Linked DNA regions of Cricetulus griseus. Each later gene encodes a partner of the first gene's protein in a complex. Links are inferred from orthologs where the notes say so. Each region holds a gene or a part of one and is shown in the gene's direction. Other genes may lie near its edges. The genes, in order: Sf3b1, Ddx42 and Sf3b4.

Evidence for each region.
Region 2: the proteins of Sf3b1 (region 1) and Ddx42 are in contact, whole or in part, in a cryo-EM structure (PDB 7EVN), measured with the Homo sapiens proteins. The link is inferred for Cricetulus griseus from reciprocal best matches to the Homo sapiens genes SF3B1 and DDX42. Residues at the interface, in NP_036565.2 of Homo sapiens: Pro509, Pro510, Lys513, Arg517, Thr520, Asp557, Arg558, Tyr561, Lys562, Asp565, Leu566, Arg568, Pro569, Ile583, Ala607, Ile610, Ser611, Arg614, Glu622, Arg625, Asn626, Arg630, Pro646, Phe647, Ala650, Val651, Lys653, Ser654, Lys655, Lys656; in NP_031398.2 of Homo sapiens: Asn68, Glu71, Glu72, Tyr75, Phe76, Glu77, Asp78, Glu79, Glu80, Glu81, Asp114, Pro115, Leu116, Glu117, Phe119, Met120, Val123, Ala127, Asp130, Met131, Arg133, Leu134, Gly146, Ile147, Arg148, Ile151, Glu152, Glu153, Glu154, Asp155.
Region 3: Sf3b1 (region 1) and Sf3b4 share a complex: the UniProt entries of both Homo sapiens proteins name them as parts of the SF3B subcomplex of the 17S U2 SnRNP complex. The link is inferred for Cricetulus griseus from reciprocal best matches to the Homo sapiens genes SF3B1 and SF3B4.

The regions. Positions count from the first base shown.
Region 1 is NC_048595.1:409,443,240-409,446,887, reverse strand, and holds part of Sf3b1 (splicing factor 3B subunit 1), read left to right. Parts: intron 1-174; coding exon 175-320; intron 321-423; coding exon 424-570; intron 571-713; coding exon 714-839; intron 840-2,066; coding exon 2,067-2,288; intron 2,289-2,716; coding exon 2,717-2,899; intron 2,900-3,030; coding exon 3,031-3,142; intron 3,143-3,648. UniProt on the Homo sapiens protein: Component of the 17S U2 SnRNP complex of the spliceosome, a large ribonucleoprotein complex that removes introns from transcribed pre-mRNAs.
Region 2 is NC_048600.1:119,188,594-119,192,241, forward strand, and holds part of Ddx42 (ATP-dependent RNA helicase DDX42), read left to right. Parts: coding exon 1-37; intron 38-2,021; coding exon 2,022-2,298; intron 2,299-3,334; coding exon 3,335-3,561; intron 3,562-3,648. UniProt on the Homo sapiens protein: ATP-dependent RNA helicase that binds to partially double-stranded RNAs (dsRNAs) in order to unwind RNA secondary structures. Unwinding is promoted in the presence of single-strand binding proteins.
Region 3 is NW_023276806.1:60,351,458-60,355,205, reverse strand, and holds the start of Sf3b4 (splicing factor 3B subunit 4), read left to right. Parts: upstream 1-1,510; 5' UTR 1,511-1,634; coding exon 1,635-1,668; intron 1,669-2,053; coding exon 2,054-2,182; intron 2,183-2,429; coding exon 2,430-2,972; intron 2,973-3,219; coding exon 3,220-3,426; intron 3,427-3,748. UniProt on the Homo sapiens protein: Component of the 17S U2 SnRNP complex of the spliceosome, a large ribonucleoprotein complex that removes introns from transcribed pre-mRNAs.

The DNA.
Region 1 (3,648 bases):
ATTTTTGAAATGGGGTTTATAATATTTTCTGTTAATAAACTGCTTTTGCTGAAATTTTATCTACTGTAACATTTCTCGCAGTTTGGATACAAGGTTAGATACAATGATAAAGTTTGGATTGTATTGTGAAAATTAGGTATTGGTGCCTGCTCACACCTGTGTTTGATTGTATAGGTCTTGTGGATGAACAGCAGAAAGTTCGGACCATCAGTGCTTTGGCCATTGCTGCTTTGGCTGAAGCAGCAACTCCTTACGGTATCGAATCTTTTGATTCTGTGCTCAAACCTCTATGGAAGGGTATCCGCCAACACAGAGGAAAGGTAAACCCACTCAATAGATTTTGGTTTTGTTACTGTTAATTAGGACAAGCTAAACTTAATTTACTGATGTGTGTGTATTTTTATACATTTTATTTTTAAATAGGGTTTAGCCGCTTTCTTAAAGGCCATTGGGTATCTTATTCCTCTTATGGATGCAGAATATGCCAACTACTATACTAGAGAAGTGATGTTAATCCTTATTCGAGAATTCCAGTCTCCAGATGAAGAAATGAAGAAAATTGTATTGAAGGTAATTAGTTGTTCCAGCTTATGGGTACATGTTTGTTTTCATAATGTGTATGTTTTGGAAGTTTAAAGGGGCCTTTATAATATTAAAAAACCACAAACTTACGTTGTGTTCTGTCAGTGTTACGTTTATTTTTTACCTTTTAGGTAGTGAAACAGTGCTGTGGAACAGATGGTGTAGAAGCAAACTACATTAAAACAGAGATTCTTCCTCCTTTCTTTAAACACTTCTGGCAACACAGAATGGCTTTGGATAGAAGAAATTATCGACAGGTAACCTTTTATTAAAGTTTGAGTCTCAAAAATCTTTGACTAGTTTTCTACTTACCTAGAATGCATATTACATACTATAATTTGCTTTGACTATCTGAAAATTTATATGTGCTTTATTTACTGTGACAGGAGATAGACTTTTTAAGCCCATTCATTCATTCATTCATTCATTCATTCATTCATTCATTATTCTTTTTTGAGGCCGTGTAGCCTGGAAATTGCTATGTAGACCTCAAACTCCCCAGATCCATCTGCTTCTTATAAGTGCTGAGATTAAAGGTGTGCTCTACTATGCCTGGCTGCTTTTTTGCCTTTTTAAATTTTTTTTTTTCTGAAAAACATGCATTTAATGTAAAATTCCCATGAAACTAGTGCATTTAAAATTTTTAAATGTTTATTTTTCATGTGTGTGGTATGGGTGTTTTGTCAATGTGTATATCTCTGCATCATTTGGTGTGTCTCAGGCCTTCAGAGGTCAGGTCATTGGATCTCCTGCTGTTGGAGTTACAGACAGCCTGAGCCAGATGTCTCCTGATATTGGAATTATAGACATTTGTAAACTACTTTGTGGGTGTTGGGTCTTCTGGAAGAAAAACCAGTACTCTTAAGTGCTGAGGTCTTTCTCAGCCCAGTGCCCAGGGCATTAACAAAGACATGCACCCTGTCTCCCTCAGCTTGTACTTGTGTTTAAATTACATTTAGTCATGGTGTGTGCATGTCCTCCAGTGCATGCATGTTGTGGAGTAAAAGGGCAGCTGGCTGGAGTCCCCTCTTTGAGTTGGATTATGGGGATCAAACTCATTGTCAGGTGTGACAGCAAGTTGAACCCTCTCTACATCCCATTTTTTCCTTTTGAGACAAAATTTCACTTTGCAGCATAGGCTGGTTTCACTCATATTCTTGGTCCTTCTGCCTCAGCCTCCCAGCTCACCAGTAATAAACTATGAGCCAATGTTTTTGTCTGGTAGATTGAGGATTTCTCCATTTTGCTGAGACACAAGTATAATTTTCTTAAGAGTTATTTTTGTTTTGGAGATAGAATCTCATGTTTCTTAGGCTGGCCTGGACCTTGCTAAATAGCCAGACTGGCATTGAACTTCGAAGGTCTGCCTCAGCTTTTTGAGTGCTAGGATTCTAAGCAGGAGCCACCCACCATGTTCTGACTGCTCTGACTGTGAAAGTTGGAAAAGTAATAGATTTAAAAGGGTTTTGTGTTTGTCTTTTTAGTTAGTTGATACGACTGTGGAGTTGGCAAACAAAGTAGGAGCAGCAGAAATTATATCTAGGATTGTGGATGATCTGAAAGATGAAGCTGAACAGTACAGGAAAATGGTGATGGAAACAATTGAGAAAATTATGGGCAACCTAGGTGCAGCAGATATTGATCATAAACTTGAAGAACAATTGATTGATGGTATTCTGTATGCTTTCCAAGAACAGACTACAGAGGTAATGGCAACTAATCATTTATTTCTAGTTTCTACATTTTATTTTGTGTGCATGTGTGTGGGTGAAAATTAGAGGCAGCTTTCCGGAATCAGTTCTCTCTTTCCACCATGTGTTCCCTTGGAGTCAGGCTTGGGGGCAGCCATCACGATGGTCATCATAGCTAACTATTGTGCCACATTGCAGTTGACTCTTGCATATGTAGAAAACTTACTTTAAAAGCAGGTATCACTTAAAAGTAATTTAAGTTTTAGCATTTTCAGTACCAGTTTCTTTTACCTCAGATTTTTGGATTTGATTTAAAAACAACAGCATGTTTGGGTGGTTGGTAAAGATTGAATGTTATTTAATCAACTTTCAGTTAAAACTAAATTTTGTATTTTTAGTGATTTTTGTTTTTTAAATATTGTAACTTAGCTTTTCTCTTTTAGGATTCTGTAATGTTGAATGGCTTTGGCACAGTAGTTAATGCTCTTGGCAAACGAGTCAAACCATACTTGCCTCAGATCTGTGGTACAGTTTTGTGGCGTTTAAATAACAAGTCAGCAAAAGTTCGACAACAAGCAGCCGACTTGATTTCCAGAACTGCTGTTGTTATGAAGACTTGTCAAGAGGTAATCTATTCTACCAGGTTTATACATACATACATACATACATACATACATACATACATACATACATACATACAGCAGGTTTAATTTGTTTAATGGAGAAAATATTGTTTTAAATCATTCTTTCATTACAGGAAAAACTGATGGGGCACTTGGGTGTGGTACTGTATGAATATTTGGGTGAAGAATACCCTGAAGTATTGGGCAGCATTCTTGGAGCACTGAAGGCTATTGTAAATGTAATAGGTATGTGATTGCCTGACTGACTATGTTTAGATTTGGCTTTGTCATTTTCTTTGTATTTTGAAAGTAAAATATAAAGTCGTATTTAGGATTTTTTTTTTTTAAACACTTCAGGGTTGTCAGAGAATGTCATAAAAGTCCCTGTTGTCCATTTGTATTTTACTTGAAAACCTTAAAGGGGAAATTTAGGATATACTAGGTATGGAAATGGTTACTGGGAGAGAGGACCCTTCTAGAACTAGTGCATCAATTAGAAAAGTAATCCAGAATCTTCTGGAAGGGGAGGAGCAACCCTGAGGTTGTGATTTAATTTTAGAAATGTTCTTTATCTACTCAGACTTCTATGTTAAAGTATTTTGATAGGTTATTAGGATTTTTTGTTTGCTGTGAGTTCAAAGAAGAGGACAGCAAACTAGCCTGTCTTTTCACCATAAGTAAAGACACATCTATGTAACCATCTTGGGTATGGAGAGAGAACTTTTTATTTTTATTTTTTTTCAGGAAGTAAT
Region 2 (3,648 bases), on another chromosome or scaffold:
TGACCCTATTCGAGTGGTGCAGGGAGACATTGGAGAGGTAATATTACACAAGTCAGGGTAGCTCCTGGGATTTTTTATAGGGACATAAAGAGTTTAATTCTTTTGTTTTGTTTTGTTTTGTTTTTCAAGACAGGGTTTCTCTGTGGCTTTGGAGGCTGTCCTGGAACTAACTGTGTAGACCAGGCTGGCCTCCAATTCACAGAGATCTGCCTGCCTCTGCCTCCCGAGTGGTGGGATTAAAGACCAGGCTTTAAGTTCCTAGTTCCTTCCTTCTTTTCTTTTCTTTTCTTTCTTTCTTTCTTTTTTTTTTTTTTTTTGAGTTTAATTCTTAAGTAATGATTTTGTTGTTGTTACTTTGCTTTTGTTTTGAGATGGGCTTTCTCTATGTAGTCCTGGAACTAGCCCTGTAGATCAACACTCTGCCTCGTGAGTGCTAGAATGAAAGGCAAGCACCACCATACCTTGTCCTTCAGTAATGAGTTAAAAATTAAAATGTTTTATATGATGCAACATGATTTAGATTTGCTTTAAGTTAAACAAGTTGAGGGGAGTGGCAAAGTGTTGCTGTATGGAAGCTGAGTGGTAAGTATATGGGTATTATATGTTTAATCATTTTTGTTTTTTCAAAACAGGGTTTCTGTGTGTAACTGCCCTGGCTGTCCTCGAACTCAGAGATCCTGCCTGCCTCTGCTTCCCAAGTGCTGGGATTAAAGACATGCACTACCAGTGTTTTTTGAATTTTTTTTTTTTTAAGATTTTTATTTATCATGTATACAGTGCATGCCAGAAGAGGGCGCCGGATCTCATTACAGATGGTTGTGAACCACCATATGGTTGCTGGGAATTGAACTCAGGTCCTCTGGAAGAGCAGTCAATGCTCTTAACCTCTGAGCCATCTTTCCAGACCTGAAATTTTTTTTTTAAGATTTTGTTGTTTTGTTTTGGTTTTAGTTTTTTTGAGACAGGTTTTCTCTGTGAAACAGTCTTGGTAATTCAGGAACTATGTAGACCAGGCTGGCCTGGAACTCACAGAGATCTTCTGCCTGCCTCTGCCTCCTGAGTGCTGTGATTAAAGGTGTGCCCAACCACTGGCTGCATTTTTTGCGTTTTAAAAGAAACTCAAGTTAGTTAGACTGGAACACTTAAATGATTGTTTAAGCAGTCTGCATAGGGTGGCCTGAGATAATTTTGGGACCTGGTAAGAATAAGTTTGATTTCGTGCTTACCTACATGTGTCCTTATGTGGTAATTTCTCTGAATTGGAATTTGGAATTCAGTTAAGGTTTTTAGAGAATTCCTTGGGCACCAGTAGATGACTCAGCCAGTAATGGTGCTTGTCTCTATTAATGAATTCAATCCCCAGGACCCACATTGTCGAGGGTGAGAACTAATTCCTGGAAGTTGTTCTCTGACCTTCATGTGTGTGCCGTAACACATGGAAGTATGCATGTATGGATACGCACACAAATACAGTAAAAAGAAAAAAAGAAAATTCCTTAGATTACTTTGGCAGTTGTTGTCTAATGTGTCTTGGTTAGGGTTTCTGTTGCTGTGATAAAGACTATGACCAAGCCGGGCATTGGTGACACATGACTTTATTCCCAGGAGACAGGGGCAGGGGGATCTTGTGAGTTCAAGGACAGCCTGTTCTACAGAGTAAGTTCCAGGAAAGCTTCAAAGCTACAGAGAAACCTTGTCTTGAAAAACAACAACAACCACCACAAAAAACAATAACAACAAAAGATAGTTTACTCTTCTGGAAATGATAGGAATAAGCATAAAAAATCATTACAGGTAATTGGGGCCTACAAATTAGATATGAACATACCAGGAGGAGTTGGTGAGCAATGTGCTTTGAGAAAATAGTAAGTTTTAAGCTGTATTTGACATACTAAAGGAAGACCCAAAGATATCAGGGACTGTCCAGGGCTATTCCCATGCAGTAGAAAATATAATACCTAGTCTGTGAAATCCCCTGTGGCACCAGTGTCACAATTGCTGCTTATTTTATTTTCTTTCAGGCAAATGAAGATGTGACACAGATTGTGGAGATACTCCATTCTGGGCCTAGTAAATGGAACTGGCTTACCCGGCGTCTGGTAGAGTTTACTTCTTCAGGGAGTGTCCTCCTGTTTGTTACTAAAAAAGCCAATGCTGAAGAGCTAGCCAATAACCTTAAGCAGGAGGGTCATAATCTTGGTCTGCTCCATGGGGACATGGACCAAAGTGAAAGAAACAAGGTCATTTCAGATTTTAAGAAAAAAGACATCCCTGTCCTGGTGGCCACTGATGTTGCAGGTAAGAGTATGAGTTTCACTATAACCTTAGTCTTTAATATATTCGTGTTACTCTACCCTGTTATAGGACCTATAGTGTCCAGTCAGGCAGATGGAATGCTCCCATTGTATCCTATATAAAGCAGCAACTCTGGCCACTTTCATCTAGTGTTCTCTTTCATTAACATACCCTTGCAGCTAGAGAATGCTCGGGGGAAACTTCTATGTCCTATGTCTACTATGCTGCTTATCTTACATTCGTTAATCTCAAGCTTTGGCTTTATTTGCTGAGTTAAGCAGCTACCCTTAAAAATAAGTATTTTTAGCTGGGCAGTAGTGGCCCATACCTTTAATCCCAGCACTAGGGAGCCAGAGGCAGGAGGATCTCTGAGTTCAAAGCCAGCCTGGTCTACAGAGCAACTTCAGGACAGTCAGAACTACACAGAAAGAAACCCTGTCTTGAAGAAAAAAGAAAAAAGAAACTAATACTTTGGATCTACAAGGAGGTTCATTGGGTACTTGCCAACCAATCCTGACAGCGTGGCTAGTTATACAGTGGAAGGAGAGAACTGACTCCTACAAGTTTTCTTTGCCCTCTACGTACGCTGTGTTATGTGCATGCATAAACACACACACACACAGGTTCTAGGTACTGAACTCCAGTTCTTATGCAGATGCACTACTAACTGAATCCCTAGAGGGCTAACTTGTGTAAATTTTTTGTTTTTGTTTCTTGAGGTAAGTTCTTATGTATTACCCAGGCTATATTGAACTCTAGAGCCTCTTGCCTCCATCTCCCAAGTATTGGGATTAAGAGTGTGATTCCAATAAATTATCCTGTGTGTGTGTGTGTGTGTGTGTGTGTGTGTGTGTGTGTGTGTGTGTGTGTGTGTATTACTCTCAATAGAGTGAACTACTCTTTATTTTTGGCTTCATACCCATGAGCTTTCGTGGATAGATAGGAAAATGCATGCTCTTATAACTAACATTTCTAGGTACTTTGATTTTCTTTTAACTGTAGGTGAAAAGTAAAAGAATCTGAATACTTCTTATTTCAGCCCGTGGTCTGGACATTCCTTCAATTAAGACAGTCATTAACTATGATGTAGCACGAGATATTGATACCCATACTCATAGGATTGGCCGAACAGGAAGAGCGGGTGAGAAGGGTGTGGCCTATACGTTACTGACCCCAAAGGACAGTAATTTTGCTGGTGACCTTGTCCGGAATCTGGAAGGAGCCAACCAACATGTTTCCAAGGAACTCTTAGACCTTGCAATGCAGGTGAGGGGTGGGCCCCTGAAATTAAGAGAAATTACATAGCCAAGTAAGAAAGTTCAGCAGGCAAGTGAGGAAGATAATAAGAGTTTG
Region 3 (3,748 bases), on another chromosome or scaffold:
ACCCTGTCTTGAAAGAACAAAATGAGAGAGAGAGAGAGAGAGAGAGAGAGAGAGAGAGAGAGAGAGAGAGAGAGAGAGAGAGAGAGACAGGGAGCCAGGAGAAAGGGGGCAGGGGTGGAGGAAGAAAGAGAGAGAGACCTTTGTGCCCTTGTTTTCCCCTCCCCAGATGGGCTCCTCGGCTCTTACAATCTCTGGCCTCCAGGATGAACTCTCTTGTCTTCAGGAACTATTAAGAAAACTGACACCAAGAATATCTCCTGAGGATCACTGCAAGAAGAGAGATCCAAATACCATCCTCTCTCAGATCCGTTGAGACTGCTAGCATTCTCGAAGGCAGGGCAGAGGGAATGTGGAGGGAGTTCTGCTCATGTTTCTTTGTATCTGACCTCAGTGTTTCAAGCTTTCACATTCCAGCCCATAAAGGAGCTCACTCCGTGAGTGAGTTTCTGTAGCAGACATGGAGCTACCAACCTCCAGCTATTTTTGTTTCTCTGGAATAAGAAACAAAACCACTTCAGAACGTTTCCTTTTTTTCTCTGGCAATTCCATGCCGTTTAGATGACAAACTGTCAAAACTGTGAGATCAGAGACACTTCATCAGTTCCAACAAGATGCCCCAGAGACTTCATTCTCAACCCCTCACACTGCTTTGAAATCCAGTTTCTTAGTCTTCTGTGGGAATGAGGGAAATAAGGGAGACACCCTGTCCTCCCACTGTATATTTTTGTAGTGGTATTTCTATTTAAGGACTTCATTAAAGCACAGTATTTCTACACATTGCTGGTATTGTTTCTTGTGTTGAATGAAGATCTCGGTAAAGTGGTTGGGGGAGGGTATGCACTGAGAGAAAAGCACCCAGATTATTGATACAGAAATTAAGGACCCAGTTCGAGGCCAGCCTGGTCTACAAGAGCGAGTTCCAGGACAGCCTCCAAAGCCACAGGGAAACCCTGTCTCGAGAAACAAAACAAATAGATAAAAAAGAAGTTAAGGACCCAAAACAGGAGGGGCTATTCCGACGAAATTTGGAGAAAGAAGCACCAACCCCTTTTTTTTTTTTTTTTTTTTTTTTTGAGACAGGGTTTCTCTGTGTAGCCCTGGCTGTCCTGGCCCGGGAGGAAGGCTCTCTGAGTGTCTCTTCTGTGGGAGGGGAGGGATGCACGGTGCTGCCGAGTGCTCCCGAGGCTGAGACTGACCGTGAACACACGCGGCACCGTGCCTCAGATGACCCCACGAATAGTGGGGCTCAGACACTTCCGTCTGCACTGAGGTAACAGGCTGCGTCCCGAGGCAGCCGGCCCGCCCCTCCCTCCCCCCAGCACGCTTCTCTGCGTCACAGAACATACAAGGCTGAGATTAGGGCTTAAATTTGGGCTGGGGAGCAGCGGGACTGCCTGACAGGCGAGAGCCGCGTCGTCAAGAGGGGCCTGAGCGCCTCGGCGCCAGCCGGGCGTCGTGAGAGCTCCACCACAGCGTCTTTCCAGACACGCGTCAGACGCCTAAGATGGCCGCGGCCACTTCCGGCTCCTCCCCTGCCGCCCGCCCCGCCCAATGGGAGCCTTGGCCCGGAAGTGGAAGTCGTAACAGGTCAGAGGGCGGTGCTGCCGCTTAGAGACGGCGGGAGCCTCTTCGCCATGGCTGCCGGGCCCATCTCCGAACGGAATCAGGGTAATTGGGGGAGAAGAGCCCAAGGTGGGCCCAGGGAGGTGGAGGGCAGATGAGTGCTAGAAGCGTTAGCGCCAGCGTGGGAAACTAGGTTTCCCCGGGAAGGCCCGCGTCTGGGGGCTGGGCCTGGGGGCCGGGTTGAGGCCGAGGCCTGTGAGGGTGATGCCTCTGGATCCGGTTCCCGTAGGCACTCCCGCTGCTACCAAGCGCATCATTGAAACTCCACCGGGAAGTACACAATCCGCAAGAACGCCACATTAGACTTGAGCGGGTTTTTTTATACTAGGCAGGCAAAGGGTGATCTCAGGGTTTTAGTTACTTTTTTTTTAAATTTCTGTTTTCCTTTTAACTCGTGACCTCGTCCTTACCTTCTGCTTTCTTGCTTTAGATGCCACGGTGTACGTGGGCGGTCTAGACGAGAAAGTGAGCGAACCACTGCTGTGGGAGCTCTTTCTCCAGGCAGGGCCGGTGGTCAACACCCACATGCCAAAGGATAGAGTCACTGGCCAGCACCAAGGTGAGTATTTACGGCAAGAAATGACTTTACTTTGGGTTAGCGGCCCCTGAAGCATCTCAACACTAGTCACAGCTATTTTGGAATGGTTTCTTTCTCTAAGCTTCAGTTGGCAGTTTGTTTCAGGAGTAGTCTCTTAGCTTTAGTTTGAAGTTGGGATTCTTCCAACTTGTTCTTTGTTTGGAGGCTGGTGAGTTAGTGTGTCGTTTTGAATCTCTTCATCTGAGTAGTCTTTTCTTCAATTCCCCAGGCTATGGCTTCGTTGAATTCTTGAGTGAGGAAGATGCTGACTATGCTATTAAAATTATGAACATGATCAAACTCTATGGGAAGCCCATACGGGTGAACAAGGCTTCAGCTCACAACAAAAACCTGGATGTAGGGGCCAACATTTTCATTGGGAACCTGGACCCAGAAATCGATGAGAAGCTGCTTTATGATACTTTCAGCGCCTTTGGGGTCATCTTACAAACCCCCAAGATTATGCGGGACCCTGACACAGGCAACTCTAAGGGTTATGCCTTCATTAATTTTGCCTCCTTTGATGCTTCGGATGCAGCAATTGAGGCCATGAATGGGCAGTACCTGTGTAACAGACCCATCACTGTGTCTTACGCCTTCAAGAAGGACTCTAAAGGCGAGCGCCATGGCTCAGCAGCTGAACGACTTCTGGCAGCCCAGAACCCGCTGTCCCAGGCTGACCGTCCTCACCAGCTGTTCGCAGATGCACCCCCTCCACCCTCTGCCCCCAATCCTGTGGTTTCATCCCTGGGTTCTGGGCTTCCTCCACCAGGTAAAGCTTTTAGTTCAAACTACACCAGTGAGAGGCCCTTGGGAGGGAGGGTCAGAAGGCAGAAGAAACCCTGAGGGAGTAAGCTGTTAACTCAGCGGGCAGCGAGAAAGGGATGAGGAGTGCTGGTGGAAGGGATGCAGATGTTGGGTTTCTTTGGGAGACTGGAGTTTAGTGTGCTGGAAGGAAGCTAGAGCTCTGTAAGACAGTCTTTCTTTCTTCACAAGATAGACTCTCGTTTCTTGTATAGGCATGCCTCCTCCTGGCTCCTTCCCACCTCCAGTGCCGCCACCTGGAGCCCTCCCTCCTGGGATACCCCCAGCCATGCCCCCACCACCTATGCCACCTGGGGCTGGAGGACATGGCCCCCCAGCAGCAGGAACTCCAGGAGCTGGGCATCCTGGTCACGGACACTCACATCCTCACCCATTCCCACCAGGTGGGATGCCCCATCCAGGTAAGTGGTCTGCTGGGAAACGGAGATGAGCTTGTGAGAGTGATTCTGTCACTGCTCTTTGTCTTGGGTGGAAATAGTCTAGAGTCTCCCTTTCCTTCAGAAAATACTTCTGTGTGTACTTCAGCTCCCTCCCGTCTTGTCTCTGGTTTTTCCTTTTTCTGCAGAATAGCCTGTTCTTACTGTTTTTACTCTCAGCCTCTCCTCTGATTCCCAGGAAGGAGCTCAGTTGCCAGATCTAGGCGACATTTTTGCTTATTTTTTTTTGTTGTTGTTTTGTTTTAGGGATAAGGTCTCTCTGTGTAGGATCCTGACTGTCCTGCAA